Linked DNA regions of Macaca fascicularis. The protein of the gene in region 5 interacts with the protein of the main gene of each other region in a biochemical or structural test. Links are inferred from orthologs where the notes say so. Each region holds a gene or a part of one and is shown on either strand. Other genes may lie near its edges.

Region 1 (4,856 bases), on a different chromosome or scaffold from region 5:
TGAGAAAGCCACCTCCACTGTTCCAGTCCCCGGGGACACCATGGAAACTCAGTCTGTCCCAAAGGGGATTGACTCATCCCTCGAGGTCGGCAGGAGGGAAGGCCTGGATGGAGGAGAATGCCCACCAGGGAATGCAGAATGAGGAGCTCCTTCAGTCACCCCCCTGGAAGACCACTTGAGTGACTATGGATTTGTGTTGAGGGCCAGACAATCCCAGTTCAGCCACTGTCTGCTCATGTGACCTGAAACAAGCTACACCACCCGAGCCTCAGCTTCCTTGTCTGGACCACAGAGAAGGCCTAAGTTGACCCGGTGGTGGTGAGCCATCAATGAGCTCATCCAACCAGCGAGCTCGGCACAGGGCCTGGCCCAGGACTAGTGTCCCAGAGGTAGATCCCTGGGCCAGGGTGTGAGTGCCTGATTTGATCCCCTTAACTTTTCTCTGTGCCCTGCCTTTACCCCATCGGGAGCCTCCAAACCACCATTAGCAGAGTTTTACATGCTCACTCCCTCTAATTCTTCACCCCTAGGGAGGTGGCACACAGAACTCAGGCTCAAGGAGTTGGTGCCTGGGAGGCCATGGTACTAATATATATGACGGTGGCTATGAGGTCCCATCCACTAGGCTTGAACCACCAGCTTCTGGCCACAAAAGGTAGAGAAAGAACGCAGGATCCTAAAATACTCAGGTAATGTCTGCTGGGCTGCCTCCCTGTAGATATATAAGGTGGGGGTGGGCGAGGGCCACCTTGTGATAAACAAGATGCCTAAGCTAGGTGTTCCAGACTGTCTCCAGCTGCCCACACAAACACCCACTGGCCAGCGCCTTTGAACAGTTGGCAGAGGCTTGCCCAAGGGGTAGGGTCAGGACTCTAGAGGCTTCTGGGATGAGGTGTGGGAATGAGGGAACCCCTTAGATGTGACTCTGAACTAACACTTCGAGTTGGGGTCGATGGGGGGCGCATCTCAGTATATACCTGCTGGTCACACTAGCTTTTCCTGACCTGCCCCCACATCCCCCCAGCCTAGCCCAAAGGCTCTGCTCCCCCGACTCGCAAAGCTCCTACAGCAGTCCCTCGCCTTACCTAATCGCCCCCAGATCTAGCCTCCCCCTCCCCACATCTGAGTCCTGACCTCATGTGACCCCCGGAAAACATCTCTGGGATCTCCTATCCGCCCCCACCCGAACTAACTCCGCCCACACCCACCGTGCCCCACTTCCTGGGCTTCTCCTCAGCCGCCCCCAGGCCTGTAACTTGACCCACCCACCTCCTCCAGCGCCCAGGCGGTACCTGCAGGCCCGGCCCCTCCCCGCCCCCCTCCGGCCGCGCCGCTCTCCTCTCCTCCCCCACTCGGCCTGGCCAGAGCCCGACTCCTCCTCCCCCTCCCCCTCCGGCATCCACGGGCGCCTCCTCACTTTTCCGCTTCGGACCCTCTAACTTCCCTGGATCCCCGGTACCCGCCCCGGCCCGACCTGGCCCCCTCCCTCGCTGGGAGCTGGGGGAGCGGTCCAGGTACGATCCTGCCGCCCCCAAGCCCCGAGGTTCGGGCTGGACGCTCAAGTCTGCCCGCGGTAGCCGGGCCTGCACACACACGCCTGCCCGGGCACAGTGCAGGCTGCGGGCCCGGCTCCTCCTCAGTCCGAGAAAGCACCCAGGCCCTCCCCACTCAGCCCTCGGGCCGCCCCGGCTGGAGAAGGCCGGAACCGGGCCTGAGGCGGGCCGCCTCACCTGCGCCGTGGCCGAGCTCCGGGGGCTCCCGGCGGGCTCCGCAGCGGCGGCTGGGGCCGGGCCTGGGCCCGGGGCGCGCCCCCCTGCGCCGGGGCCTCGGCCTCCGCCTCCGCGGCCTCCGCGGCCTCCGCCTCAGCAGCAGCGGCAGCCGCGGCGGCCATTCATTGTGGGCCAGGCCGCCCCAGCCGAGCGCCGAGCGAGCGCAAGCCGCGCCGCCGCCGCAGCCAGGCCAGGGAGGAGCGGCACCGGCCCCGCCCGCGCACCGCCCTCAGGCCCCGCCCTCCAGGCGAGGCCAGCCGAGCTCCGAGCGCGCCCCATCTAACCGGCTCCGTCTCCTCTCTATGCCCCTGGGAGGATCCTCGCCGGTACGTCGGCTCAGCTCGGTGGTTCGAATCCCGACCCCGCCACCTTCTAGTCCCGCGACCTTGGGCAAGTCGCTCTACCTTTCCGAACTTTAGTTTCCTGTAAAACAAAAACAATAATGACTGCTGTTTATTGCAGCAGGCACCGTGTTAGGTTCTTTATGGGAATTAGCTCGTTTAAACTACACAGTAACATTTTTTAGTGGGAACTGTTACACACTAGAGAAAATAAAGGCGGCTGGGCGCGGTGGCTCACGCCTGTACTCCCAGCACTTTGGGAGACCGAGGTGGGTGGATCGCCTGAGGTCAGGAGTTCAAAACCAGCCTGGCCAATATGGCGAAACCCTGTCTCTACTAAAAATACAAAAATTAGCCGGGCGTGATGGCAAGCGCTAGTAATCCCAGTCACTCGGGAGACTGAGGCAGGAGAATCGCTTGCACCCGGGAGGCGGTGGTTGCAGTGAGCCGAGATCATGCCACTGCATGATCCAGGGCGAGACTCCGTCTCAAAAAAAAAAAAAAAAAAAAAAAGAAAATAAAGAAAGACAGAAAAGGAGGCACAAAGAAAGCTGGTCAAGATCATCACACAGCAAGGAAGTGATGGCGGGTGCCAGGATTTAAACGCAGGCTCAAAAGCGACAATAACAGCTAAGACTTTTATGATGCTTACCGGATGCTAGGTTCTGTTAGCATTTTACGTGCACTAACTCGTTTACTTCTCACTACAACCCACTAACAAATGGTAAAAAGTTCTGCCCTTTTGCAAAAGCGGTAACTTAAGTTCAGAGTTAACAACAAGTCGCAGGGCGAGCTAAGACTGGAACCCAGGTACCCGGGAACCACTTCGCTGTCCTGCCTTCGTACACTGGTTAGAACTTTACCGAGCGCTTACAAGGTCAGAGTGGCTCTTTACACACTTTCCAGGAATCTGTCATTTAATCTTTGTTCTATCTGAGAAACCACGATTCTTATTTAATAGATAAGAAAACTGAAGGCCCTAGAGTAACCGGCCCCGAGCATGTGGTGGGACTGAGATTCAAACCCAGTAAATCCAACTCCAGAGCCTGAGTTATCCCTGCAGAGTGCTCTGAAATAATGTGTATATAGCACCCAGAACACAGAAGAGGACCAATAGCTGTTGGGTTTCTCCGCTTACCGCCCCTTTTCTGAGCCACAACTTCCTCATCTGTGAAATGGGACTAGTGACGTGTCCTCTCCCAGGGGATCCACTGTGATTAAAACCCCCGGAACAGCATGATCAGCGCGCTTCCTTTATGGCATTCATTTTGATCCCGGCCGCCCACCGTCCACGTCCTCATTGATTGGCCAACCACTATCATGTGATTTCCCCCACCCACCGTGCCAACATGGCGGCGCCCAGGTCCTAATTTGGGAAACGTGCACCTTGACTAATTCGGTTTTCTGTGGCTACGAGACCAGGTGAGGAGGGGCTGGGCAGTGCGGGAAGGGATTCGGACTCAGGGCGGGCCTGCACGAGGGCATCGGCTCCGCAGGAACCAGTCATCCCCAAAACAAGGGGTTATCAGCTTACCGAGGCCGCAGGTCTTCCTAGTTTCTACTTCATAGATATGTAGGACACCCCCGGGCCCAGAATGCGGCTCTCTGACCCTCTCTGTGCCTTTCCCCGCCCCCCGAACCAGGCTTGGCGGACAGAGGCACCAGCGGATGTCTCATGCAAGGATCGTTCTGTGGCTAAGCCTCACTCTCCGCCCCACCCGTGTGCTCTGTACAGCCCGGTTTTTCGAGGGGCAGTCCCCAGGGCTGCCGAATCCAGCAGCGATGGAGAACGGCACCGGGCCCTGCGGAGAAGAATGCCCACGTGAAGTCCAGGAGACGACAATCACCGAGGGGGCTGCCAAAATCGCCTTTCCCAGCGCCAACGAGGTCTTTTATAACCCGGTGCAGGAATTCAATCGGGACCTGACGTGAGCAGGGGTCAGAGGTCAGCCTGGCATCGGCTAGTGGGTCAGTGTGGATGGCGGGGGCGGGGTATGAGCTAGTCCTCTGTCTCCCACCAGATGTGCTGTGATCACCGAGTTTGCTCGCATTCAGCTTGGGGCCAAAGGAATCCAGAGTGAGTGGAGGTCCAGGCTTCTGGCGGGCGGGGGTCACACAAGTCTTATCTCCCTGCCTGGGCCCTTCTGCCGCCCAAATCCAGAGAGGCTTCAGCCACATAGCAGGCCCTGGGTTCTGCTCCTTCAGCCTTTCCCCAGGGATTTCAGGGAAGATATTTTGGAGATTAAGGGGAGGTTTCTCAGAGAGGACTTCGTTACTCTCTGACTTGTGCCTCTGGGTGGCTGCAGTCAAGGTGCCAGGAGAGAAGGACGCGCAAAAGGTGGTCGTGGACTTGTCAGAGCAAGAGGAGGAAAAGGTTGAACTGAAAGAGAATGAAAACCTGGCCTCAGGAGACCAACCTCGCACAGCGGCCGTGGGGGAAATCTGTGAGGTGGGGCCTGAGCATAGCAGCTGGCAGTCCTGGAATTTAGCGGGAGACAGAGGGCTCCTGGAGGGGGAGAGCTATAGGAGGTGGGTGGTGGGGGCTCCTTGGGGCCCAGAAGAGGATGGAGATGGAGGTGTGAGGGAGGTTTTCTGCTCACTCCAACAGGAAGGCCTGCATGTGCTGGAAGGCCTGGCAGCTTCAGGCCTACGTTCCATTAGATTTGCCCTAGAGGTGCCTGGGCTCAGATCTGTGGTTGCAAACGATACCTCTGCCCGGGCTGTGGATCTCATACGCCGGAATGTC
Region 2 (4,315 bases), on a different chromosome or scaffold from region 5:
ATAAGATAATGAAAACAATTGATATAAATATTGGGGTAGACCAGTGCTGCTCTGGGAATTTAAGAAGATAGGGTGTGGAAGCTGGTACTAAACATGTTGTTGCAGAGGTTTTAGCTTAAGGAATAAGAAAATAATTGGTTAAAGATGTTGGGGTCCCAGAGGACAAAGTAAGCAAAAGTTGGTATAATACTGTCAGGGAGGTTTTGATTCTAGGAATATGAAATATTCTGGAATAAGAGAAGACTATGAAATAACTAGGGAAGCCCAGCACTGGTCTAGGGCTTCCAGAGGACAGAATGAGGACCAGCCATTATTAACCATGTTTTCAAAATGTTGGCTATAGGAATATGACACGAAAATGAAATGCGCATGGCAGGGCAGCATCACTGTGGGGATCTCAGAGTGGGAGTAGGAGTCAGTATTAATAATGCAATGATGGTTTTTGCCAAAGCAGTAAGACAAGAAAGTAGGTGAGATAGTGCTTAGGGGCCCAATACTGGCCTGACGGTACCAATGGATGGGTTAAAAACTGATAAATTTTAACATTGTTTTCAAAGTCATAGCTATGGCAATCAAAACAAAATAAAATCTCTGATATAAATGTTAGGGGGGGTCCCAGCCCTGGTCTGAGAGACTGTACCTTGTCATAGTAGTACCGCAAGGCCCGGCTGAGCTTGTCGTAATTCATGTTGGTCTTGTTCTTGCGTAGCCCCCACAGCCGGGCCACCTCCTCTGCATCCACCAGCTTGAATTCACCACCATCCCGTGAAGTCCAGGAGATGATGTGGCCATTGCCTTGCTCTCTCAGCAGCTGCAGCAGAAACTGCCACAGCGTCACAGATGGGTCCATCGCTGGGGGAGTGCTCACGCCATCCCAGGGGTACCTGGAGGGCAAACAGCTGAGTTGAGAGGCTGTGGACATAGGAGGGGCAGAGGTCAGGGGGAGGAGGATTCCTTTTTTTGTCATCTTTTCTCCATCTCTGTCCTCAAACCCTACCATCATTCCCTAAACATTCCCAGACTAACTTCTAGCTCCCCAATCCAGCTTGGGATGCTCCCTGTGATGGGATACAACTCATGAGTATCTTAGGATGGTGTGAATGTATTTTGCCTGTGGGACAAATGTGAATCTGTGGCGGTCAGAGGGCAGACTGTGGTAGGCCAGATGATGCCACCCCTGTTCCACATCCTAATCCTTGGAACCTGTATGTTATTTATACTACGTAGCAGAAAAGAACTTTGCAGATGAAATTAAGGTTACAAACCTTAAGACAGGGAGATTATTTCTGGATTATTTGATTAAATTCAATCTAATCATATGAGCTCTGAAAAGCAGATGATGAAGAAAGAAAGGTAGCTCAGAGATGTGATGACAGAAGAGGCAGGGGAGATTCAAAATGTGAGAGGGACTCAACCTGCCATTGTTGGCTTTGAAGATGGAGGAAGGGGGCTCAGAGCCAAGGACTGTGGGTAGCCTCTTAAAGCTGGGAATGGCCATCAGCTGACAGACAGTAAAGAAACAGGGAATTCAGTCCTACGACCTCAAGGAATTGGATTCTGCCAACAACTTGAATGAGCAGGAAATGGATTTTCCCCTAGAGCCTCCAGAAGGAACACAACCCTGCCAATACCTTGATTTCAGCCCACCGAGACCAGTATGGGACTTCTGACCTATAACAATTTTTTTTTTTTCTGTGGACTCTCAAAATTCTCCTCAGGTCAACAGGTATAACAGCTATAAATATAACTCATTATTTTAAAAAAAAATTTTTTTTTTTTGAGACGGAGTCTCGCTCTGTCACCCAGGCTGGAGTGCAGTGGCGCCATTTTGGCTCACTGCAAGCTCCACCTCCCGGGTTCACGCCATTCTCCTGCCTCAGCCTCCCGAGTAGCTGGGACTACAGGTGCCCGTCACCACGCCTGGCTAGTTTTTTTTGTATTTTTAATAGAGACGGGGTTTCACCGTGTTAGGCAGGATGGTCTCGAACTCCCGATCTTGTGATCCACCTGCCTTGGCCTCCCAAAGTGCTGGGATTACAGGCGTGAGCCATTGCACCCAGCCACAAATATGTTATTTTAAGCAGCTAAATTTGTGATAATTTATTACAGCAAGAATAGAAAATTAGTTCCATCCCCCTTATTTGAGTGTTATCTGTATCTTCTACATACCATATAAATTCTACCATATAAATGTTAAGTTTTTCAGGTTTTTTTGCCAGAGCCTTGCAAAGGCTGCTCACTCCACGTGGGGCTTCCTTCTTCTGCCTAGCAGTCTTTCTCATCTTTCAAGTTCCACCTTGAAGGTCCTTTCCTTTATGAAGCCGTCCTAAAACTGAACGCCTGATCTCTCTGTCCTGTTACTATCCCTGAATGTTCTCTTTGTTTTTTTTTTTTTTTTTGAGATGGAGTCTCTCTCTGTCGCCCAGGCTGGAGAGCAGCGTAGTGGCACAATCTTGACTCACTGCAACCTCTGCCTCCCAGGTTCAAGTGATTCTCGTGCCTCAGCTTCCCGCATAGCTGGGATTACAGGTACCCACCACCACGACCGGCTAATTATTGTATTTTTAGTAGAGACATGGTTTCACCATGTTGGCCAGGCTGGTCTTGAACTCCTGACCTCAAGTGATCCACCCACCTCCCACCTTGACCTTCCAAAGTGCTGGGATTACAGGTGCGAGACACCATGCTCGGCTCTGAATGCTCTCTTTCTCGATGACAGCAATAATTAACATCTACTGAGAGCTTAATACACATCAGGCACTGTTCTAAGCAGAGGCAATATGACCTGCTGGACAACTGCCCAGGCACTAGGGCCAGACTGCCAGTGTTTGAATCCTGGTTCTGCCACTTATTAGCTGTGTGACCCTGTGCATATTCTTTTTCTTTTCTTTTTAGAAATGGGGTCTCACTACGTTGCCCAGGCTGTTCTTGAACTCCCAGGCTCAAGCAATCCTCTCTCCCTGGCCTCCTAAAGTGCTAGGATTATAGGCATGAGGCACCACGCTTGGCTGATATTCTTTAACCTCTTTGTACCTCAATTTTCTCATGTGTAAAACAGGGATAATGATATGCCCATTGCTAAAATGGGGATAACAATACCTAGTTCATGAAGATATTGTATAGATTAAATATTATATGCCTGAGGTATATGATAAGCTCTAAATATTAGTTTCTGATTTGTTCATAGTCCCTTATCTGCTATTCCAAAATCCAAAATGCTCTAAAAGCAGAAAGCTTCTTATACCTCTTTTGGCAGCAAAACCTGATTTGAAATGAAACAAGGCCCTTTCTGGTCTTTATTGATTCTCACTTAGTGTGAGAGTGTTCATACATTTTGCTGCATAAATATGAACACAGCCGACTGCAGAGCTTACTAAGGGGTGTTATGTAACATCGTATATGCATCATGTTACCTTCCTGAAATCTGAAGAAATTGAAATTCTGAAACGCATCTGGCACCAGGGGTTTTGGGTAAGGGCATGTACACCTGTACTGTTATATTTTTTTAATGGGCATTGACTCATTTATCCCTTATCACGCCTCTGAGAAGTAGGTAGTCTTACTGTCATTAATTTATAAATGAGGCAGCGGAGGCACAAATGTCTACGTACCTTCCACAGTCCACAAGTGGCAGAGCCAGCATGTGGAGCCAGGCAGTCAGGTTCCAGTGGGCTAAGCATCTCACCATTAGACTAAATGGCCCCTCACACCAACTGCTTCCTCTTAGCATGTCCCTCAAAGAACAGGATCCTCCCTGTCACCCCATTACTGCTTTCTTTCCTGAGAGCAAACTGGAAATAAACATGAGCTTCCTGTTCAATTATACAAGTCACAAAGCCATGAAGTGTCCGATTAGAGAGTCCTGTCACCAGAGACCTCACCGAATTTGTTTTGCAGGCAGGCTTGTTTCAAAAGCCCAAAGAGTTCAGAGTGACTCCTGGTGGCAAAGACAGGCAATTTTACCAGTTCCTCTTTCAGCTGCAACAGCACCTATCAGCTGAGTGAAAGGTCACGGTGGGCTTCCAGCTTCAATAGCACATACGGCTTTGTATTTTGTCATTTCTCCCACTTGACCCCTCATAAGAGTTCTAGCAATCTGCCTTGCTTGGATATGTTTACTTCTTTCCATCTCCTTCACTTAGCAAGCTTTTGGTGAGTGGGCCAGGTGCTGCGGATGCAGCCGAGAACGAAACAGACAACAATGCCTGCTCCAGAGGAGCTCACATCTTAGCAGGCAAGGCAGGTGAGAAACAAGGCAAACATGTACAAGAGTGCGTCGAATGGTGGGAAGGGTTATGGGAGAAGAAATCAAGCA
Region 3 (3,888 bases), on a different chromosome or scaffold from region 5:
AAACACAATGAAGGCTGGAATCCAGATGCCAGATATTCGGAGCATTTTCTGCAGGAAGCTAAATTACTCCACTGGAATGGAAGACATAAACCTTGGGACTTCCCTAGTGTTCACAACGACTTATGGGAAAGCTGGTTTGTTCCTGACCCTGCAGGGATATTTAAACTCAATCACCATAGCTGATATAACTCTACCCTTAAAATATTCCCTGTCTAGAAATGTGGAATTGTCTCTTTGTAGCCAACTATAACATTGTTCTTTATGAACATTACCTTTGATACAGATGAGCCACAATATAAAAACCAAAAACTACTGTGTGCAAATTATACCTTGGACCATATAGGCATTGACTGACTTCTTTAAGTACATGTGTTAACTATGGAAATTGAGATTATGTGACTGAAAAACATAAAGGAACAGACCCATCTAGATACCAGTAATCAATCTGCTTAATTCTGAATAACAATTATATCCACAAATTTTTAAAACTTCTAAATGTATTTTTCACATGTAGATCTTTTTAACAGGTTGCCAATCTTTTCTTTTATAAAACTATTGCATTTAAAATATGGATGTCTGAAAAATAAAATATTCATCATTTTTATGACTTTTATCATGTTATTATTCTACATGTTAAATATAATAGAAGGTAAACTGACCTCAGGTTTAAAGGGGAAAGAATACCACTCAGTTTTGCTACAGAAAAAGCCCATAACTTAAGGATAACAATTCTTAATATATTTTATTATAAAAGCCATCAGACTTTCAAATGAATTTTAAAATCTTTCAATATTATTTAATGAAAAAGTCTCATACTGTCATGTACAGGATATATCAACATTTACTACTCATCTGTCATGTTAGGAAAACATCATTATTATATGCTTGGAAAATCCTCAAACCCATCTCTAGTGGATGTCTGTCATAATTTAAATGGTATTTTCCCCATTCAAATAAAACAATCTATTGTAAAGCTACAATAGTTATATACCAAAGCAATACCTAGTTACATGCTTTACACAGTCCCGTGAAAAAATAATTTAATTGCTCCTAATCCCTGATGCAAGGCACTTCAAAGCACCCGCACAAAACGTCCATGTAAACAGCAGTACAGTATATCATTTAAATAACATAAATGACTTTTACACAGCTTGACCTAGACTTAAGGAAAAATAAAATCCATCACAGCCACAGCTAAAAAGCATGTTAAGATTAACAAGAATTTGTTTCTCTCATAGAGAAGAGCAATCATATAACCTCCTGGGGGTGGGGGAGACCTCCTAAATATTTTATATTGATTGACAAAACAGCATGCTCCCTGGGTATGTATGAAATCAGAATATTCAGGAGTGACTGAGAGGATGCAAATGGCATTTCTTAGTACCCAGCTTTAGTATCTACCAGACCTAGTAGTCTGGATTATTTGTAGCACCATGGAAAACTCATTAGAAAATCACAAAAGTATATACTTCAACCTTTCCATGAGGTTCATTTAATTCATAGTAACAAACAGCAACGATGCAGATAAAGAATCTTTAAAATTATTGGCTTACTGGATTTACCTAGCAAGAAAAATTCTATATTACTTATTTTAGTACATCTCATGTACATAAAGCACCAGTTTAAGTGAGATTATGAAGTATTTCCAGCATCTTTTTGCTTAGCCTAAAAGTTCATTTTTTATCACTTTCCATGGCACATTCTTAAAGCCAAGGAAGATAAAACTAGAATGGTGATAAATATGAATGGAGAAATACAGTTCCTTCCCTATCATATTTATGTGTCTCAAGTAAAACATAGACGAGTGGCAAAAGGTCTACTGCATTCTCTGGAACCTGCCACCCCAGAGTAGTTACTGGCTACTAGAGGATTAACACACAGGGCTGAGCAGGTCAAAGCCAGGGCTCTGTCAGGTAAGGTACAGTTTTTACTACCGAGCAACTCACAAACACCACTGGTAAAGCAAAGAGGTCTGAGTGTGCATATAACTCAGGGAACCCTGAGTTTACCCTTAGTTACCACTAAAAACTAACGAATGAGACTCCACTGAGGCTTAACTTCATATACAAAAATCAACACATTTGCCTCTTTGACAGTGGTAATTATTATTAGCATGCCCTGCTTAGGTATAAAAGGGATGATGGTATATCTAGGTTTATGCACAGTTAAGAATCAACTATAAATATTCAGACTTGTATTTTAAAATTACAGATCAAAAGTGGCTCCCAAAAGAAAATCAATTTCTTCATAAATGAAATATAGTATATAAAAAGCTGGAATGATGATTAATTCAAATACAAAAGCTAGTATACAAAAACCCTACTTTTTCTTCCAAACTACTTAGGTTCATAAGGTTCATACTACCACACAACTGTTCTACATTACAATTACACCACTAGAGTAAAATACTAATAAAACAGTTCAGTTAGCAAACTGAGGTTCTACTTGTTGACAACTGCATTAAAACTGCAGCATTTAAGCAGAGCTGAGAAGCACCATTCTTAAGCATGACTTTCTTCTTCCTGTTCTTGTGTTCCACAGTGATTATTAAAGGAAGGAATCTGGTCTGTAAATGACTGGGTCATCCACTGCCCATTAGGAATGCCACTGAAAGTTGATTCTCCTCTTAACTCCACACTGTCAACTGCCAGAAAGACAAAGTTAGTTTATGCCATTTAGAAATTTTTGCTTTTTTTAAAATAGAGACTGGGTCTCACTCTGTCGCCCCCAGGTTGGAATGTAGTGGCACGATGACAGCTCTTTGCAGCCTCAAACTCCTGGGCTTGAGTGATCCTCCCATCTTAGCCTCTCAAAGCACTGGGATTACAGGGGTGAGCCACCACATCAGCTTCTTTGGAAGTTTTTTTTCTTTTTGAGACGGTGTCTCACTCTGTCACCCAGGCTGGAGTGCAGTGTGGTGATTTTGGCTCACTACAGCCTCTGCTTCCCGGGTTCGAGTGATTCTCTTGCTTCAGCCTCCCAAGTAGCTAGGATTACAGGTGCCTGCCACCATGCCCAGCTAATTTTTGTATATTTTAGTAGAGACGGGGTTTCACCATGTTGGCCAGGCTGGTCTTGAACTCCTGACCTCAAATGATCCACCCACCTCAGCCTCTCAAAGTGCTGGGATTACAGCTGTGAACCATCATGCCCGACCTGGAAGTTTTAAATGATCAAAGTAGGAGATTTTAACAGTCTAGTGAAGGAGAATTATTATTAAAATAGTTAAGCAAGCTTCCTGAATACAATTATAAGTTTCTGTTCTATTTTTCAGATACAGGACTCATTTGTTATTAATCCTCATTTGTTATTAAAGGAGGAAAATGCAACTAAGATGGCCGAGAGTTCATGACTTAAAGAAAACGCACTGTAGGCCAGGCACCACTGTAGGCAAGGCACAGTGGCTCACGCCTGTAATCCCAGCACTTTGGGAGGCTGAGGCGGGGCGGATCACAAGGTCAGGAGATCGAGACCATCCTGGCTAACACGGTGAAACCCTGTCTCTACTAAAAATACGAACAAAAATTAGCTGGGCGTGGTGGCGGGCGCCTGTAGTCCCAGCTACTCGGGAAGTTGAGGCAGGAGAATGGTGTGAACCCGGGAGGCGGAGTTTGCAGTGAGCTGAGATGGCGCCACTGCACTCCAGCCTGGGTGACAGAGCGAGACTCCATCTCAAAAACAAACAAACAAACAGAAAATGCACTGTAAAAGTCTGTGTAATTCAATGTGAAATAACCATCAATTTTTCACTATTAGTCACTAAATAAAATTTCATATTACCATTCCCATTCTTCAATCATTTACTCTCCTTCTATTAAAATCTTCCCCCCAATCCTGGCAAAACCGTCTTTGAAAGGAATACACGTGGAGGGAAACATACTTAGCCCA
Region 4 (4,315 bases), on a different chromosome or scaffold from region 5:
CGCCATTCTCCTGCCTCAGCCTCCCGAGTAGCTGGGACTACAGGCGCCCGCCACCTCGCCCGGCTAGTTTTTTGTATTTTTTAATAGAGACGGGGTTTCACCGTGTTAGCCAGGATGGTCTCGATCTCCTGACGTCGTGATCCACCCATCTCGGCCTCCCAAAGTGCTGGGATTACAGGCTTGAGCCACCGCGCCCGGCGGATCCCTGTCTTCTTAAAGACAACACTGTCCACCATGTTTCCTGTGACGGCCACATTGTCACAGAGTGAGGCCCTCTCCACCGTTTTTCTTTGAGACGGAGTCTCGCTCTGTCACCCAGGCTGGAGTGCAGTGGCGCGATTTTGGCTCACTGCAGCCTCCGCCTCCTGGGTTCAAGCAATTCTCCTGCCTCAGCCTCTCAAGTAGCTGGGATTACAGGCGTATGCCATCACACCCAGCTAATTTTTGTATTTGTAGTAGATGGGGTTTCACCATGTTGGCCAGGATGGTCTCAAATCCTGACCTTGTGATCTGCCTACCTCGGCCTCCCAAAGTGCTGGGATTACAGGCATGAGCCAGCGCGCCTGGCCTCTCCACCTTTTTTGCATCTATCAATGCCCCTAGCTCTCTAGCAGCAGCTGTGCAAACACCAGGAGGGCCCACGGGGTCTTGGTAAGACACTTTTCAGGGTACTGCAGCAGTGCTATGGTCTTGTGGTCAGGAGACCTGCAGCCTGTCACTAACTGACAGTGTGACCTTGAGCAAGAGCAACTCTATGGCTTGCCTCCTCTTATCAAATGGCACGACTATTTCAGCTTAGAAGGTTGTCGTGAGGTTACAATGAAAAAGTATAATGACTTTAAACAAGGATTCAACTTGATAAAAATACAAAATACTGCCTTTATTAAAAATGAGGCAGAGATGAATAGGAGGGAATTTTGTCCCAGTTAACTATTTATTCCATTTAAACTACTCAAAGTCCAGTTGCCCCAATAATTAATAATTTTCACTTCCCCAAAACCCCAAGCAAGGTGCACTATCATTCTCACCTGCGGGACCTATGTTTCCCATGCCGATGCCTTTATTCAGGTGATTGGCATCAATGGGTTGCCCTCCTGGTCCTAACCCCATGCCAATACCACCAAGGCCATCTGGAAGGAAAAGAGAAAGAAGTTTAGTTTTCCCCTATTTAGCAAACCGTGACCCTCAAAGGAAAAGAGTCTTTGTTTAGTGAGTTGCAGCTATCCACTCCAGCCTACCCACCCCCACCCACCAGTGACCCCAGGGCCCAATGCAAAATTCAACATCAGCACATTTGGAAACAGAACCTTGTTCTGGCGTTTGGGATATGTGTGTATACAACAAAGGCGGCTGAAAACCAACACAGGGGAAAGTTAACAACCCCCACACTAAGATTCTTGAGAGCCTATTTGTTTCACTAACCCATGGACTGAGAACTGATCAAAAAAGGTGACTCAAGACATCAGGTGGCAAGCAGCACAAATGTGCCCAATCCCTAGTAGCCCAAAGGACGTTTCTCATGAAAAAACACGTTGCAAACCAGCCAATCAACATCCTGGATGTACACTACTCTCTGAATCTGGGTGGTTTTAGTAACAATGAACCTAATGTATGTATTCAAATAACCTATCTTCCTTCCCCCAAAGCTTCCTAACCCACAACTGGATACCCAGCCCACACTCAACTCCATGCTCTACCAACACAAACAGGGACACAGAAATACAGGCTGGTCTCTGGAAACAGCCAAAAGAGCTGACACTTGCAATATTTGGGGTAACCACCATCTGAGGCTTAAACTACAACCAGGTAAGGTTTCAAAAATTATAACAAGGCCAGCCGCGATGGCTCACGCCTGAAATCCCAGCACCTTGGGAGGCCAAGGCAGGTGGATCACCTGAGGTCAGGAGTTCGAGACCATCCTGGCCAACATGGCGAAACCCCATCTCTACTAAAAATACAAAAATTAGCCTGGCATGGTGGCGCACACCCATAATCGCAGCTACTCGGGAGGCTGACAGGAGAATCACTAGAACCCAGGAAATGGAGGTTGCAGCGAGCCAAGACCACGCCACTGCACTCCAGCCTGGGTGACAGAGTGAAACTCCATCAAAAAGAAAGAAAGAAAAAGAAAAAGAAGGAAGGAAGGAAAGAAAGGAAAGAAAGAAAACAAAATTCATTTAAAAAGTAAATAAAACCTGCCACTACTTCCCAGGCGTTTAACCTGATTAACATTCCATCTTTAACTGCACAGCAACAGCAGCAAGAGATCACCAAGGTTACTTACTCCTCAAAACACTGAAGGCTTTGAAGTCAAGTCTCTGAAATGGCTGGGAGACCAAGAGCCATGGCTCCCTGGAGCAGTGTGCTCCACCTCCTGATCCAAAACAAGAGTCAACAACAGCCACTACCACGGTCCAGGGTGACCGCTGCTCAGATGAGCACACAGACAATTTATTTGGGAAATGAGTATGTTATGTCCAGGAAATGTGATCCTTCTCTAACTAATGTTGACTTTCAACAGATGAGCCTTCTCATGAAGCCACAGATTTCCCTTCAAGATACATCTGTCATGCTGCCTTAATGCTACGATGCAAAGGTGCTCTGGCCTGGGCTCCCATCCAACTCAGTAAGTGAGTAGGGCCCTCAGCTTGAGCTGCTGCTCCAGACCAGGCCCCCTCAACCCACCTGGTGGAGGTCCCCGCAGCACAGCACACACAGGCCTCTCACCCTCACCCATCTTCCTTCTCCAGGAGGGCTTTACCTGTGCCAGTGACTCCCTGAAATGTCCCACTGCTGTCTGCACTCAGGTTCTGGCTTCCCGTCTCCGGCTTACGTAGGACTCTGCACTAATATTTGCCACTTCTACCTACGTGGTGGCCCATCAACTAGCCTTCCCTGTCACAAGACAGATTTTTCACCTGGGTGTCACAAATAGCCGATCCCTTTCCCCTCTGCATAGAAATTATTTGTTCAAGACCCTTCACATACCATAAAACTCACTCAAAGTATTCAGTGGTTTTTAGTATATTGAGATAGGCAACTATCACTACCATTTAATTCCAGAATATTTTCATCACCCAAAAAAGAAATCCAACCTTATTAGCAGTCCCGTCCCCACTTACTCCTTCCTGGCCACAGGCAACCACTAATCTACTTTCTGCCTTTATGCATTTATCTATGTGGAGCATTTCCTGTAGATGAAATCAAGGTTCATCCACACCGCAGCATGTGTCTGTCATCCTGCTGCAAACAACTGTGTACGAATTTCTGTGTAGATGTCTAGTGTGCACTGCTAGTGCACATGGGACTAACCAATATCTTCTGAATTAGAGTGCAGCCTGGTTTTTATTCCCTTCACAGGTTCTGATTCTTCCCTCCCCAGGACACTTTCAAAATGCCTAACCACATCCTCTACATTTTGGTATTACAATCCTAGGATTAACACGAGGTAATCCTAACAATATCCTCAAACTGTGAATCTCTGCTCATTTCTCGCCCTGAAAAATCTATAGAAAAGAATTGGCCAAGAGAACTGAGGGCTAACCTGGCACAGGTTCAAGTGAAACTTTATGGTAATTTTCTGTTTCTTAGTATAACTCAAATTCAAACTCTCAGCCCTAATCACTGAAACACTTACGGGGAAGTTGTTGTGGACGCTCAGGAGGGAAGAAATCTCCTTTTGGTAAGGCCCTCTCATCCTGAAAGAGAAAGAAAACGAATAAATCTCAGTATCCAGTGCAGCAGTGTTTGCCACAGCCGAAGACTGAAATGGCCCCCCATCAAGAGAGGACTGGCTAAACACATTATCCACACCATGGAGTAATATGCAAGGGTGGAAAGGTATGTGGAGCGTGCTTCCTATTTTATGTCAAGGTGAAGGATCAAAAGACATATGGATATTATCGTGGGGGATAATGGGGACCTGGGCAAGAAGTCCAAGTAGGACTCACACTATCTTCACGCTATCTTTTCATATTTTTTGACTTTTGAGTCATATGAATCTATCATCTATTCAAAAAACTTAACTATTCTATTTACAGTAATGAAAAAATTGCTTTATAGTTTCTTTTATCTTTTTCCTGAATTTGAGCCCCGACTAGATTGCCCCCAGCATGTTCCAGTCATGCCTGTAGTAATTATTATCTTTGGCACAGCCACGGCAGAGCAAATGTTTATTAAGACTGAAATGCTCCAACAGACCTTTAAGAGCTGTCTGAATCAATGACTTAATTATGTTCACAAAAGACTTGATGCTAACCAAACATTATACTGTAATACTCTGAAAAACTGGAACCCCACATACATAACTATTCTT
Region 5 (4,315 bases):
CCCAGCTAATTTTTTGTATTTTCACTAGAGACGGGGTTTCACCATGTTAACCAGGATGATCTCGATCTCCTGACCTCGTGATCTGCCCGACTCAGTCTCCCAAAGTGCTGGGATTACAGGCGTGAGCCACCGTGCCCGGCCTGCTTTCTTTTTTTTGAGATGGGGTCTTGCTTTGTCACCCAGGCTGGAGTGCAGTGCTGCAATCTCAGCTCACTGCAGCATCAACCTCCTGGGCTCAAGCGATCCTCCCACCTCAGCCTCCCAAATAGCTGGGACTACAGGCGTGCACCACCATGCCTGGCTTAACTTTTTTTTTTTTTTTTTGAGAGGTAGTCTTGCCTTGCTGCCCAGGCTCGTCTCCAACTCCCAGGCTCAGGCAGCCCTCCCGCAGTGGCCTTGCAAAGCATTGGGATTACAGGCGTGAGCCACTACACCTGGCAATTTTTTTTTTTTCAGACGGAGTCTCACTCTGTCACCCAGGCTGGAGTACAGTGGCCAGATCTCAGCTCACTGCAAGCTCTGCCTCCCGGGTTTTATGCCATTCTCCTGCCTCAGCCTCCCGAGTAGCTGGGACTACAGGTGCCCGCCACCACGCCCGGCTAATTTTTTTTATTTTTAGTAGAGACGGGGTTTCACCGTGTTAGCCAGGATGGTCTCGATCTCCTGACTTCGTGATCCACCCATCTCGGCCTCCCAAAGTGCTGGGATTACAGGCTTGAGCCACCGCGCCCGGCGCAAATTTTTCATTTTTTGTAGAGATGGGGTCTTGCTGTGTTGCCCAATCTGGTCGTGAACTCCTGGGTTCAACCAATCAGCCCACCTTGGCCTCCCAAAGTGCCGGGATTACAGGCGTGAGCCACCACACATGGCCTGGAAAACATTTTCCAGGCGCGGTGGCTCACGCCTGTAATCCCGGCACTTTGGGAGGCAAGGAGGGTGGATCACCTGAGGTCAGGAGTTCAAGATCAGCCTGGACAACATGGTGAAACCGTGTCTTTATTAAAAATACAAAAATTAGCCAAGCGTGGTGGTGTGCACCTGTAATCCCAGCTACTTGGAGGCTGAGGCAGGAGAATCACTTGAACCCAGGAGGCGGAGGTTGCAGTGAGCCGAGATCACACCACTGCACTCCAGCCTGGGTGACAGAGTGAGACTCTGTTTCAAAAAAAAAAAGAAAATATTTTCTACCTCAAGGGCCACGTGACACTCCTGAGCACTGTGGCTTCCTGCCCAGTGGAATGCATTTCACGGAACTCCTAGGGCACAGCAGGCCAACACACAAACCCAGGCCACGCCACATCCCACGAGCCAGTTCCAGCAATGGCTCGGCCGACTGAGCGTCTGTGAGGTGTGCAGGGGAGCCAGGCTGAGGCTGGGGTGGCTGCTGTGACACTTGCTCCCTGCCTGGGGCCTCTGTGCCACCCTCAGCCAGCAGGGAGGGCACCCTGCAGACACCTGGGCTGGGCCTGCATCCAGGGAGAAACACATCTCTCCAAAGCCAGGTGCCTTCTGTTTTTTGAGATGGCATCCTGCTCTGCTGCCAGGCTGGAGTGCCGTGGCTCCATCTCCGCTCACTGCAACCTCCGCCTCCTGGGTTCAAGCCATTCTCCTGCCTCAGTCTCCCGAGTAGCTGGGATTACAGGCACCCAGCACTACGCCCAATTAACTTTTTGTATTTTTAGTAGGGATGGGGTTTCACTATGTTGGTCAGGCTGGTCTCAAACTCCTGACCTCGTGATTCGCCCACCTTGGCCTCCCAAAGCGTAGGGATCACAGGCATGAGCTACTGCGCCCGGCCCAAACCAGGTGCTTTTCCTCACAACCGGTGCGGGCTGGGCTTAGGGCAACGGTGACCCCTCAGCCTCCCACTCCCGACCAGGAGATGCCCCCTGGAGGGAGCGTGCCTCCGATGCCCATGGTGGCAGGCACGTGTGGGGTGGCTGCAGGGTGAGTCTCCTGGGTCCCCGGCCACTGGGGCCCCCGAGACCCCCTCAGAGGTGTGGGCACCCACGCTGAGATGGGACTGGGTTTCTCAACGCTGCAGGTGCAGCAGTGGGGGTCAGAGCCCCCAACCCACCTTCTTATGGACCTGCCCAGAGCAGCTGCAGAGGCGGCCCCCAGGGCTGGGGACAGGACAGGCAGGCGCGTGGCGTCTGCTCAGGGCAGGGTCCTCCCTGCTGTCCCCAGCACTGTTTGGCTGTCGTCTGCATCCTCACTCACACCAGGCCCTCCTCAGTGCAGACAGTGACCCCAGGACCACGGGAACCCTTGTAGCCACAGCAGCACCTCACAGGGACCGGGTGGGAGCCGAGCCTACGTGACAGCATCACATCACTGAGCCGTGCTGGGCCCCCACAGGAGGAGCCAAGTGTGCGGGGCTGGGGATAAGCAGCAGGGGCAGTGCAAGAGGCTGGGGTCCACAGGAGGCTGAGCAGGTGGACAAGCCCCTCAGCATGGCCTCCTCCGGCACCCATGGCCAGGCCCTTCCCCTCCTAGTAGGGGCCCAAGACAGCCCCCGTCACCTGGCCTGCTCCCTCCCCCAGACAGGGCTCCGGCACCGTCCACGCCCACGGCACACCCTGTGCGTCGGTGCCTGCTGCCCACAGGGTTTATGCCCCGACCTTCCCCTGGAGGTGCGGACCCTGGCTGTCTCTAGGGTGAGCCTGTGTGCTCCGCTCCCCTCCTGCCAGGCGGCCTTGGCTGGGATGGAGAGGAGCTGCCAGCAGCGGGGCGAGGGCTGCTACTAACCAGTAAATCGTGTAGGCCTCTGCTTGAGCTGGATCTTGGATATTTGGTTCATTTAGAAGTTCCTGTATTCCTAATAGGATCTGTGCCAGAAACAAAAACACAAGACAGGGGTGTGAGCAGTCTGAAAGGGGGACACGGTGAGACTCGGCCTCAGCCACTGAGAATGACTGCAGACCCGCGTGTCCAGAGGGGAGACGGAGGCAGCCCGGCCCATATGGGTGGCGGAGGCCCCGTACCTGTTTGATTGTGATGGCTGGCCTCCAGTCCTTGTCCTCCTCTAAGATGGACAGGCACACTGTCCCCGAGGGGTACACATTCGGGTGAAATAATGGTGGTTCGAATTTACCTGGAGAACGAGGAAGAAAGGAAGCGCTTTTTGCAGGCAGGCACTGTCCCCGAGTCATGTCCTTCCCCCCCGCCACCCCCTCCCAACACTGGGCCACTGGGTTGGGAGCCAGGTTATGTGGCCAAGAACTTTCCAAAAAAATAACATTGTGGCCACGAGGAGGCAAGAGGAAGACATGTCCACCTTTGCACGCAGGGGACAGAGCCTTGGGGACACGGCCGCAGGCCAGAGACGAAGCCGTGTCTCTCCCAGGACAGAACTCCCGGCACAGCCAGGCCGTCTGGGAACACAGGCCCCCACGTCCTTCCCAGCTGGGCCAGACTCAGGGGAGATAGGAGGAGCTGCGGGAGATGTCCAGGGACATAGCCAAGGCCCTTCCAGAGTCGGCAGTTCCTACGCAGACCCTCTGCTTCCAGGACACATGGGCTTTTAGGACCCTGTGTTATTTCTTTACAAAAAAGCAAAGAAGTTTGCCACCATTAGCCCCGTCGGGGCCATCACCGTTGATATTCCAGGCTATTTCCCGTCTTTTCCCGGGCATTCTCCCTCAATGCTATGGAAGACACACAGTGCGGCAAGTCCAGCGCAGCCTGAGGAATTCTCTCAAAGCCGACGCGCCACGAACACCTACAGCTTCCCGAACACTCGCTCCTACCGACCACTGCGTCTGCCCCGTAATCCCAACTCCAACACCCAGGGGCAGCTTCCTGGACTTCAGGTACCACGGAGCGCACAGGGCACACGCCCTGGAGAATGCAGTGAGGACACCACCGCAGACCGCCCCACGCTGCGACCATCCCACACGGCGGACCATCCCACACTGCAGGAGCCCATAGGCGACACCAGCAGCTGCGTGGCCATCCTGAGTATGAACACTGGCGTGAGTGCATTGCTGTGCAATGTGGGGTCACGGCATCGGTCCTCAAGCCGTGCTGCTTCCAGGCTGCTCACGCGGGCTGTCGCTGGTGGATTCCAGCCACTGGGTGAGGTGCACAGCGGCCTCCACTGCGTCTCCTGGTGACCATGGAGCGCCCCTTTCAGCCCGGACTGCTTCCTGGCGACTGCTTTGGAGCTCTTCAAGTGGCACGTACAGGCCTCTTCTCCTGCTCGGGGCTTGAGTTTTTGCTTTTAAAATTTTTCGAGATGGAGTTTCACTCTGTTGCGTGGGTTGGAGTGACGTGATACAATCTCGGCTCACTGCAGCCTTCACCTCCCAGGTTC
Region 6 (4,315 bases), on a different chromosome or scaffold from region 5:
ATTTCAGCACTATGAAAACATGTAACAAAAGCAAAATCAAAAAGGCCTTAAATTCGTCTGAACAAGTTCTTCATATACAAAATTTCAAGTAAGAATTTTAATATGTATCATAAGGATGGCTTAAAGTACATAAAATTAAACTATAGTAAATAAAATACAAAAATGAGGTTTTTAAATAAACATTACTCACCATCAACAAGAGATGGTATAGATCTTTCATTGTCTGAGTTTGAGAAGAGAATCAATTCCTTGTTGATGAAATCATTATAAGTCAAATGCTTTGTTGCAGTACCATATAAAAATTGCTAAGAGAAAAGTTATATAGCAATATTATCATTATTACTGCATGAATTCTAGTCTCTCTCTCCTTCTTCCCCCAGGTCACCACTCTTAAGACTAACCTCTGGTAAGCCATGTAGCCTACGCTGTCTCCGGTCTTCCATAAAATTTGTTAACCATTCTTTTCTGTCATCAATCTTCTTCTTACTGAATGCCTGAAAGATTCCAGGTAATGATTTTGCACATTAAAAATAAAATAAATTTAATTACAAAATTAAAACTTATAACTGGCCAATAACTAATTCTTAATTTCTGGAAAATTAGGTTATTTTACAATATTTTTATCAAAAACACATTTGAACTAAGGTCTTTCAATTAAAGAAGTTTATACTAGCACAGCATCATCTGGGGAAAAAACTAAAATTAACTAGCTTGAGCATTCAAAAGAGACTTTTCATAGGGAACCAGGACTGGGAGGAAAGGAACAGAAGGTAGGGGGATGGCTAACAAAAGCTTTTAAAGAATTAACTTAATTACCAAGGTAATGGCAGCATCATCTTCAGGACCAGCGTATCTAAACAAGATGCGATGCCTTTCCATATCAGCAAAATATTCCTTTGCTTCTTTAGCTGTACTAGTACCCAATCCTGCACAATTTTAAAAATAAAAGTGAGTCATGGATATCAATGTCTGTTCAAAACCATCAAGTGAAAAGTTGGTGGAAAAGTTGTAACAGATGGATCACGCTGGCAACACCTATACCAACTGCAATCTTAATAAGCAACTAAAGACAAAGTAGACATTAGATGCTTCCTGATGAAAGTACACAGCGATACCTATGAAATGTTTTTGCCAAACAACTGTAACCCAAATCTGATCACGCCTGTGATTTAACCATCAGTTAACCGAAAATAAGGGCACAGGAAAATACTATATATTAAATGTAACTAGAGGAATATAATTAACAAAATCCAGAATGTGGAAAATTACACAGAACAAACAACCCAACTTAACAAATAAATTACAAGGAAAAAATATAAAAAGAGAAATGCTGTATTAATAAACTTATCAATCAAATGCAATGTGTGGACCTTATATGGATCCTAACTTTGGAAAAAAAAAAAAACTCAGGCTAAGCACGGTGCCTCATGCCTGTAATCCCAGCACTTTGGGAGGCTAAAGTGGGTGATCACTTGAGGCCAGGACTAGACCACCCTGGCCGACACTGCAAAACCCTGCCCCTACTAAAAATAGCCAGGCATGGTGGCACAAGCCTGTAATCCCAGCTACTCGAGTGGCTGAAGCATGAGAATCACTTGAACCCATGAGGGAGAGGTTGCAGTAAGCCAAGATCCCACCACTGCACTCCAGCCTGGGCAACAGAGCAAGACTCCATCTCAAAAAAATAAAATAAAAATAAAAAACTCTAAAAATAAACATTTTTAATACAGTCCAGGGGAATTTTAACACTGGTTGGGTATTTAACATTATCCAAAAAAAAAGGGAGCCAGGCATGGTGGCTCACACCTGTAATCCCAGCACTTTGGGAGGCCAAGGTGGGTGGATGGCTTGAAATCAGGAGTTCAAGATCAGCCTGGGCAACAAACCAAACCCCATCTCTACAAAAATACAAAAATTAGCTGGGTGTGGTGGCACACGCCTGTAGTCCCAGCTACTTGGGGGGCTGAGGCAAGAGGATCACTTGAGCCCGGAAGGTCAAGGTGGCAGTGAGCTGTGTTCATGCTACTTCTCTCCAGCCTGGGTGACAAAGCGAGACCCTGTCTCAACAATAGGATATTAAAGAAGGTCATGATAATGGTATTATGGGTTACTTAAAGAAATTCTTTTAGAAATACATACTAGTTATAGGTGAAATACTAGACTATAATGTCTGGAAGTTTTTTCAAACTAATGGAGTGGCAATAAAGGAAGTTTACAGGAAACAAGACTGGCCATTGGAATGGTGATCCCATTCAATGGAATCTATTACATTATTCTATTTGCATAAATTTTTCTGTAACAATATTTTAAAATCAGTGATAGCTATTTTCGAAGTCTAAAATAGAGTCAAACTTTCAAGATGTCTTTTAGATTGCTTTCATAAGAATACATTTATATCAATATTTAAAATCTAAGTATTTTAAAATACAAACCTTTATAGTACTTGATTTTCCAGGCTTTCTGATTTTCTATATGTTTTTTCCACTCATCAAATTCAGGAATACTGTAGAAGGAAAGTTCCTGCTTATTTTTGCTTGCCTTGAATTAATTAAAAAAAAAATTAGTTTTTCTGCTACCCTTTAAGACAACAATATAAAAATATATTAATGCAAAGAGTACCTTGACAATAGGAGTAATGAACTCTTCAAGAAAACCATGCTTCAAAAGTGATGGCCAATTGTGATGGATGAAATTAATAAGCAGGCCTTTTATGTGAGAACCATCTTGATCCTAAATAAATGTTAGTAAAGTAAAAAAATCCTGTAATACTTTTATAAAATGATTAAACAAATTTTAAAACCTGTGAATGCAAAAAAACAAAATTCTGAATTTTAGAAATGCACTTTACAAAAGCTATTAAGATGATCACACTAAATTTTTTCTTAATATGTAAATAAAGAATATAGTAGTAATAGACTGAATGTCATTATAAAAATATATTATCATTGTATCTGTTCTATAGTTTCCCCAGATTTCACTAAAAGAATGATTTAAGGATGGAAAATACATAAAATAAAACATGGCTACGATGCCACCTTAATGGGCAATGGTAGGGAAATCCAGGTAATACAGATATTCACAAGTCTTCCTTAGATAAAAAATTGGAAAATTTCTGCTTAAAACTACATATTAATAGTTTTTTCAGTTGCAGATTTTCTCTACAAATACTTTAGAGTGTGTAAGAGAAAATAGTTGAATGCATCTGAAATCCTTACTTTTCAATTTTCTAGTTCTTGATTACTGTCATTTTACTATTTAAGTCTTCTTGGTATTTGTGCATTCCAAATCATGCCATCATATATAAATATTAACCATTATCATGAATCTTTCTTACTTGTTAATTCCACAATTTTGTTCCTGCTTGTAGGCAGGCTGCCATACTACCACACTGTATTATGTTCTCCTCACACATATTGCATTTTAAAATATTTTTAACTAACCCATAAGACTGTTACCCCAAAAATTAGATAATGTAAAATGTGCTTCATACAAATGTTTCCACTAAAAGATGAAGTTTTTTTATTTTTTCCCCTGATGTATAATCACTTTCAGTTATACTATCTTGGGGCAAGTCTCATAAAACAAATATTAAAAGTAGAATCTGAAGAAGACATGAATTTAAAATATATGGTAACTTTAAAACCAACCTGATCGGTCATAATCATAATCTTTCCATAGCGTAAGGTTTTCAGAGATTCTGCATCATCGTAACTTTTCTTATATTGTAGACCAACTATTTTAATAATATTATTTATTTCAGCATTTTCCATGATCTGTTCAAAACGGAAAAGCATTGAAAGTAGTTCAAAGTGTTGAAATATACAATGAGTCAGAAATTACATTTAAAAATTCCACAAGTTTAGTAAAGTATTAGAAATGTCATGTGTATGTGTGCGTGTGTGTATACATATATATACACATATATACCTGTTTATGAGAAGCTTCCCGTACGTTAAGAATTTTGCCCCTGAGTGGAAAAACTCCGTATCTGTCTCGTCCAATCACACCTAATCCAGACACAGCCAGTGATTTGGCAGAGTCTCCCTCTGTTAATATCAGTGTACACTCCAGGGAATGTTTGCCACCTGAGAGAAATTTAAAATTATACATAGTAAAAATTTCTCATACTTTTACTGATGATAAAAATGAAGTCAGAAAATTAACATCAGAATGCTGACAGTGAAAGATTATAAAAGTTATCTTACATTATTGCTCAGTACAAATATTAAGTATATTTTATTGAATTCCTATCCCCTGAAAACTAGTAATATATTGTGTATGTGATAATTTCAATGAAGTAAAATTACACTCTCAA
Region 7 (4,315 bases), on a different chromosome or scaffold from region 5:
ACAGTGCTTGCTTTTGGCTCCAAACTCCAAGTGCACCTCTCTGCATCTCTGAGCCACCAGCAAGGCTAAGTGTGAGCAATCATAAAGCCATCATTCCCAGCTCACTGACTCTCTGCATATAGTGAGAGCTCCATGATCTTCCTTATCTGCAGGCTGGTTTTTATTAAATCTAAATCTCTTATGCTTCAGAATAAAATAATCCTTCTCTCTGCCACTGCCCAGTTATAACACCTAAGACAAGCTGTGTAAACTCTGTGGCGTCACTTCCTTAATATGGGTAACACTCACTGCCTAGGTGGAGAAGGCACAGGTCCAGGCCCTCTAAGATTATCCTTTATGATCCATGTCCAGCTCCAGGAGAAGTAAGTAAGCTCTCTGTCACTGGCACATACCCAGGTGCCTTCAGATTCCGTAGCCTCCCTCCCCTTTCCCAGTAAGGGCGTCCTATACCAGCTGCTCAGAGCTCACATTCCAGCTTGGAGATTTAGTCAAAGAGTCCTGGAGACCCTCCTGTGCACTCCCCTCACCCCTTACTTTGAAAGTCCCCTTATTCCAGCTAATACACAGCTGCCACATCTCCCGGATTTGGATTGCAGAGCTGAGCACTGTCTCATTCTCCAGCTATGTGATGTGGCTCTGGCTCCTTGAGATCAGAAACTGGTCTGTGTCTCCTTACCTCTCAAGTGCCCAACACTAGGCAGGGCGTGCAAAGGTTGTCAGACAGCAGGTCATCCTAGAGACAAGAGGTCTCCTCCACTGAGCCACTGTACGGTTTTGGGTAAGCATCCAATCATCTCCCGGAGGTTTTCTTAGCTCCCTTCTACCCTAACCCCAGGTCCCAATTGACTTCTCTGTTCCGAGACACTGGTGGCTTAAGAGAACCTCCTGAAGTGGTTGGTCCCTCTGGCGCCAAAATGATACTGGGTCTGATTCTCAGCTTTGCAGTTTTTCGTTCCCTATGAGTCATCGCTAGGTCAATCCAGAGTCTTGTAAATTAGTAAAACGTGTCCCCTCTGGGTGGCTGCAGCCCTTTGTCAGGGCCTTATCTCCCCCTTATCCTGTGTCCTGGAACCTAAGACCTTACCAAATCCCAAAGACTGAATAAAAACCCAGTTTCCTTTTCTGTCAAATGGAGACGATCTCTTCTGACTCGCCTTCCCTAGGGTGCAGCAGAGGCACAGGGCGCCCAGGATGGTGGCTTGCGTACTTACCTGTCCCCTGGGTGATGCAAGAGCTGAGGTCCTGCAGGCGCACCTTGAACTCGTCAAAACCGTCCGTGCGCACAGCGGCTTGCAGGCTCTGGGGTTCCTCCTGGCGCAAGCGGCAGAGCGCCTGGCGCAGGAAACTGTGCATGTCCAGCACCTCCTGGTCCGATGCGTAGCACTTCATCCTCTGCACCAGCGCGCTGCCCGTGCGGATGCGCTGCAGCACAGCGTCCAGGCGGCCCAGCCGACTGGCCATCTCCTTGTAGTCGCGCTGGTACCGTGCGTCCACTGCCTCCAGCAGCTCGCGCTCCTGCGCCTGCAAGTGAGCTACCACCTCGCGCACGCGCGCGCGGATCAGCTCCTCGGTCTCGGCGCGCGCGCGGCCCAGCTGGCCGACAGCCGCGTGCATCTGCGCGTGCACCGCGCCAAAGGCACTATCCTGCTCCTGCAGCGCCTGCGTCATGGCATCCAGCTCCTCCTGTCGCTGCTGGATCTCTGCGCTGATGTCGCACTTGAGCTCACTGTGGCCGCTGTCAAGGAGAGCGCACGAGCAGCACAGCGGCTTGGAACAGCCTCGGCAGTAGATGCTGTGGACACACAAGGTTGGCCTGGGTTAGGACTCTCCTGACTTTTTCCTCTTAAAACGTTCGTTATAAAATTCCTTTTCCAAAATTACCAGACTTTGAATCATGGCGTGTTTCTAGGTTTCTGCTTTTCCCAATTCATTGTTTGTGGTTATGGTGATAGTATCCAAACTACCAATAACACGAGTATAAAAAGTTACTACAGTAACAATTTCAACATCCGGGAAACAATACAAAGATATACGAAACGACAATCATCTCTTTCCACCACTTCTGAATTTCCCTTCCTCACTGAGGAAGCACCAGGTAAGCATTGTGGGGTGCACCCTTCCACACCTCTCTCCAGTGAAACCGCTTTACACAAATGCCAGACTGGCAGCTGCTTGCAGGATGGTACAGACTTGACACATGTCAGCCATGCCACTTAACCTTTGCGAGAGCCCCTTGGATGAGAATTATTGTTATGCATATTTCCCAGAGGAAGAAACAGAACATGTTAAATGATTGACCTGGATATCTACAATTTTGGGGATTGACGTTTGTCAAAAAAAAAAAAAAAAAAAAAAGAAAGAAAGAAAAAGAAAGAAAAGAAAGAAATCGGCCGGGCGCTGTGGCTCACGCCTGTAATCCCAGCACTTTGGGAGGCCGAGGCGGGCGGATCACCTGAGGTTGGGAGTTCGAGACCAGCCTGACCAACATAGAGAAACTCCGTCTCTATTAAAAATACAAAATTAGGCGGGTGTGGTGCCGCATGCCTGTAATCCCAGCTACTTGGGAGGCTGAGGCAGGAGAATTGCTTGAACCTGGGAGACGGAGGTTGCAGTGAGCTGAGATGGTGCCATTGCACTCCAGCCTGGGCAACAAGAGCGAAACTCCGCCTCAAAAAAAAAAAAAAAAAAAAACAAGAAAAAGAAAAAAGAAAGAAATCAACTCATATAATTACTTTGTAACTTCCTCCTCTTAACAAACTTTCACTCAGAGCATTCCTCTAGGTGCATAGGCACAGATCAGATGTATTCTCTTTAATAGCTCTGGTATATCCCAGATGGGCTACAATTGATTCAATCACTCATTTTGCTGGCATTCAGGTAATTTCCTGTTTGTGTATTTTCTTTCTTTCTTTTCCTTTCCTTTTTTTCTTTTGGTGCCAATATGGACAACACTTTAGTAATATCCAAGTTATATAGCCTAAACATGGATGCTTTTGTTCCTATGAAATAGATTATAAATATAGGCTTGCTAGATCAAAGTGTTTGTATTTTAATGTTTTTATTTGGTTAATTTTTTTTTTTTTTTTTTTTTTTTTGAGACGGAGTTTCGCTCTTGTTGCCCAAGCTGGAGTGCAATGGCGCCATCTTGGCTCACCACAACCTCCGTCTCCCGGGTTCAAGCAATTCTCCTGCCTCAGCCACCCGAGTAGCTGGGATTACAGGCATGCACCACCACCCCGGCTAATTTTGTATTTTTAGTAGAGACAAGGTTTCTCCATGTTGGTCAGGCTGGTCTCGAACTCCCGACCTCAGGTGATCCATCCGCCTCAGCCTCCCAAAGTGTTGGGATTACAGGCGTGAGCCACCACTCCTAGCCTGGTTAATATATTTTAGCTAGCAGATACTTCCATAGCATTTATTGTGTATCAGACACTATTATAAGTGTTGGCAAATATCAATTCATTCAATCCTCCTGACAATCCAATGGAATAGATAACATTATTATCCCCATTTTAAGGATGAGAAAACTGGTGCAAGAGGCGAAATAATTTGTTCAAGCTCACACGATTAGTAAGTGGTAGAGTCTAGATGCAAACTCTAGTAGGCAGAATAGTGGCCTCTAAAGATGTCCACGTGCAAATTCCTGAGACCTGTGAATATGTCACCTTACTATGGCAAAAGGGTCTTTGCAGGTGTTACTCAATTAAGGACCTTGAGATAAAGAGATCATTCTAGATTATCTGGGTGGGTTCAATGTAATCACGTGAATCCTTACAAAGGAAAGGGCAGGGAGGCAGAAGGGGAGATGTGATGAATGCAGAGGTGGGAGTGTTGTGATGTTGCTGCTTTGAAGACAGAAAGGGGGCATGCACCAAGGAATGTGGGCAGCCTCTAGAAGCTGGGAAAGGCAAGAAAACATTCTGCCTGAGAGCCTCCCAAAGGAGCAAAGCCTGCTGACACCTTAATATACCTCAGTGAGACCTGTTTCAGACTTCTTACCTCCAGAACCATGAGAGAATACATTTACATTGATTTAAGCCCCTAAATTTGTGGTAATTTGTTACAGCAGCAAAACAAAATATAAAAACCCGGCCGGGCGCGGTGGCTCAAGCCTGTAATCCCAGGACTTTGGGAGGCCGAGACGGGCGGATCACGAGGTCAGGAGAACGAGACCAGGCTAACACGGTGAAACCACATCTCTACTTAAAAAAAAAAATACAAAAAACTAGTCGGGCGAGGTGGCGGGCGCCTGTAGTCCCAGCTACTCCGGAGGCTGAGGCAGGAGAATGGCGTAAACCCGGGAGGCGGAGCTTGC

The links.
Region 1: of the proteins of UBE2I (region 5) and NACC1, one has a biochemical effect on the other in vitro, tested with the Homo sapiens proteins (2 studies listed by BioGRID). The link is inferred for Macaca fascicularis from reciprocal best matches to the Homo sapiens genes UBE2I and NACC1.
Region 2: of the proteins of UBE2I (region 5) and ELK1, one has a biochemical effect on the other in vitro, tested with the Homo sapiens proteins (3 studies listed by BioGRID and IntAct, with this or other methods). The link is inferred for Macaca fascicularis from reciprocal best matches to the Homo sapiens genes UBE2I and ELK1.
Region 3: of the proteins of UBE2I (region 5) and TDG, one has a biochemical effect on the other in vitro, tested with the Homo sapiens proteins (3 studies listed by BioGRID). The link is inferred for Macaca fascicularis from reciprocal best matches to the Homo sapiens genes UBE2I and TDG.
Region 4: of the proteins of UBE2I (region 5) and HNRNPM, one has a biochemical effect on the other in vitro, tested with the Homo sapiens proteins (2 studies listed by BioGRID). The link is inferred for Macaca fascicularis from reciprocal best matches to the Homo sapiens genes UBE2I and HNRNPM.
Region 6: the proteins of UBE2I (region 5) and TOP2B form a complex in vitro, tested with the Homo sapiens proteins (2 studies listed by BioGRID, with this or other methods). The link is inferred for Macaca fascicularis from reciprocal best matches to the Homo sapiens genes UBE2I and TOP2B.
Region 7: of the proteins of UBE2I (region 5) and PML, one has a biochemical effect on the other in vitro, tested with the Homo sapiens proteins (13 studies listed by BioGRID, with this or other methods). The link is inferred for Macaca fascicularis from reciprocal best matches to the Homo sapiens genes UBE2I and PML.

The regions. Positions count from the first base shown.
Region 1 is NC_088393.1:13,519,308-13,524,163, reverse strand, and holds the start of NACC1 (nucleus accumbens-associated protein 1), read right to left. Parts: upstream 3,387-4,856; 5' UTR 3,279-3,386; coding exon 3,249-3,278; intron 2,960-3,248; exon of another isoform or gene 2,763-2,959; intron 2,193-2,762; coding exon 2,174-2,192; exon of another isoform or gene 2,054-2,173; intron 1,922-2,053; exon of another isoform or gene 1,731-1,921; intron 1-1,730. Other genes in the region: TRMT1 (tRNA (guanine(26)-N(2))-dimethyltransferase), read left to right, coding at 3,779-4,038, 4,132-4,187, 4,417-4,559, 4,719-4,856. UniProt on the Homo sapiens protein: Functions as a transcriptional repressor. Seems to function as a transcriptional corepressor in neuronal cells through recruitment of HDAC3 and HDAC4. Contributes to tumor progression, and tumor cell proliferation and survival.
Region 2 is NC_088395.1:47,740,730-47,745,044, forward strand, and holds part of ELK1 (ETS domain-containing protein Elk-1), read right to left. Parts: intron 885-4,315; 5' UTR 851-884; coding exon 641-850; intron 1-640. UniProt on the Homo sapiens protein: Transcription factor that binds to purine-rich DNA sequences. Forms a ternary complex with SRF and the ETS and SRF motifs of the serum response element (SRE) on the promoter region of immediate early genes such as FOS and IER2.
Region 3 is NC_088385.1:110,915,360-110,919,247, reverse strand, and holds the end of TDG (G/T mismatch-specific thymine DNA glycosylase), read right to left. Parts: coding exon 3,881-3,888; intron 2,645-3,880; coding exon 2,502-2,644; 3' UTR 724-2,501; downstream 1-723. Other genes in the region: GLT8D2 (glycosyltransferase 8 domain-containing protein 2), read left to right, coding at 14-183. UniProt on the Homo sapiens protein: DNA glycosylase that plays a key role in active DNA demethylation: specifically recognizes and binds 5-formylcytosine (5fC) and 5-carboxylcytosine (5caC) in the context of CpG sites and mediates their excision through base-excision repair (BER) to install an unmethylated cytosine.
Region 4 is NC_088393.1:9,162,711-9,167,025, reverse strand, and holds part of HNRNPM (heterogeneous nuclear ribonucleoprotein M), read right to left. Parts: intron 3,699-4,315; coding exon 3,638-3,698; intron 1,131-3,637; coding exon 1,029-1,130; intron 1-1,028. UniProt on the Homo sapiens protein: Pre-mRNA binding protein in vivo, binds avidly to poly(G) and poly(U) RNA homopolymers in vitro. Involved in splicing.
Region 5 is NC_088394.1:2,065,496-2,069,810, reverse strand, and holds part of UBE2I (SUMO-conjugating enzyme UBC9), read right to left. Parts: intron 3,095-4,315; coding exon 2,985-3,094; intron 2,829-2,984; coding exon 2,749-2,828; intron 1-2,748. UniProt on the Homo sapiens protein: Accepts the ubiquitin-like proteins SUMO1, SUMO2, SUMO3, SUMO4 and SUMO1P1/SUMO5 from the UBLE1A-UBLE1B E1 complex and catalyzes their covalent attachment to other proteins with the help of an E3 ligase such as RANBP2, CBX4 and ZNF451.
Region 6 is NC_088376.1:22,719,585-22,723,899, reverse strand, and holds part of TOP2B (DNA topoisomerase 2-beta), read right to left. Parts: intron 4,086-4,315; coding exon 3,928-4,085; intron 3,774-3,927; coding exon 3,648-3,773; intron 2,731-3,647; coding exon 2,620-2,730; intron 2,539-2,619; coding exon 2,433-2,538; intron 927-2,432; coding exon 817-926; intron 495-816; coding exon 402-494; intron 306-401; coding exon 191-305; intron 1-190. UniProt on the Homo sapiens protein: Key decatenating enzyme that alters DNA topology by binding to two double-stranded DNA molecules, generating a double-stranded break in one of the strands, passing the intact strand through the broken strand, and religating the broken strand.
Region 7 is NC_088381.1:50,946,366-50,950,680, reverse strand, and holds part of PML (protein PML), read right to left. Parts: intron 1,793-4,315; coding exon 1,212-1,792; intron 1-1,211.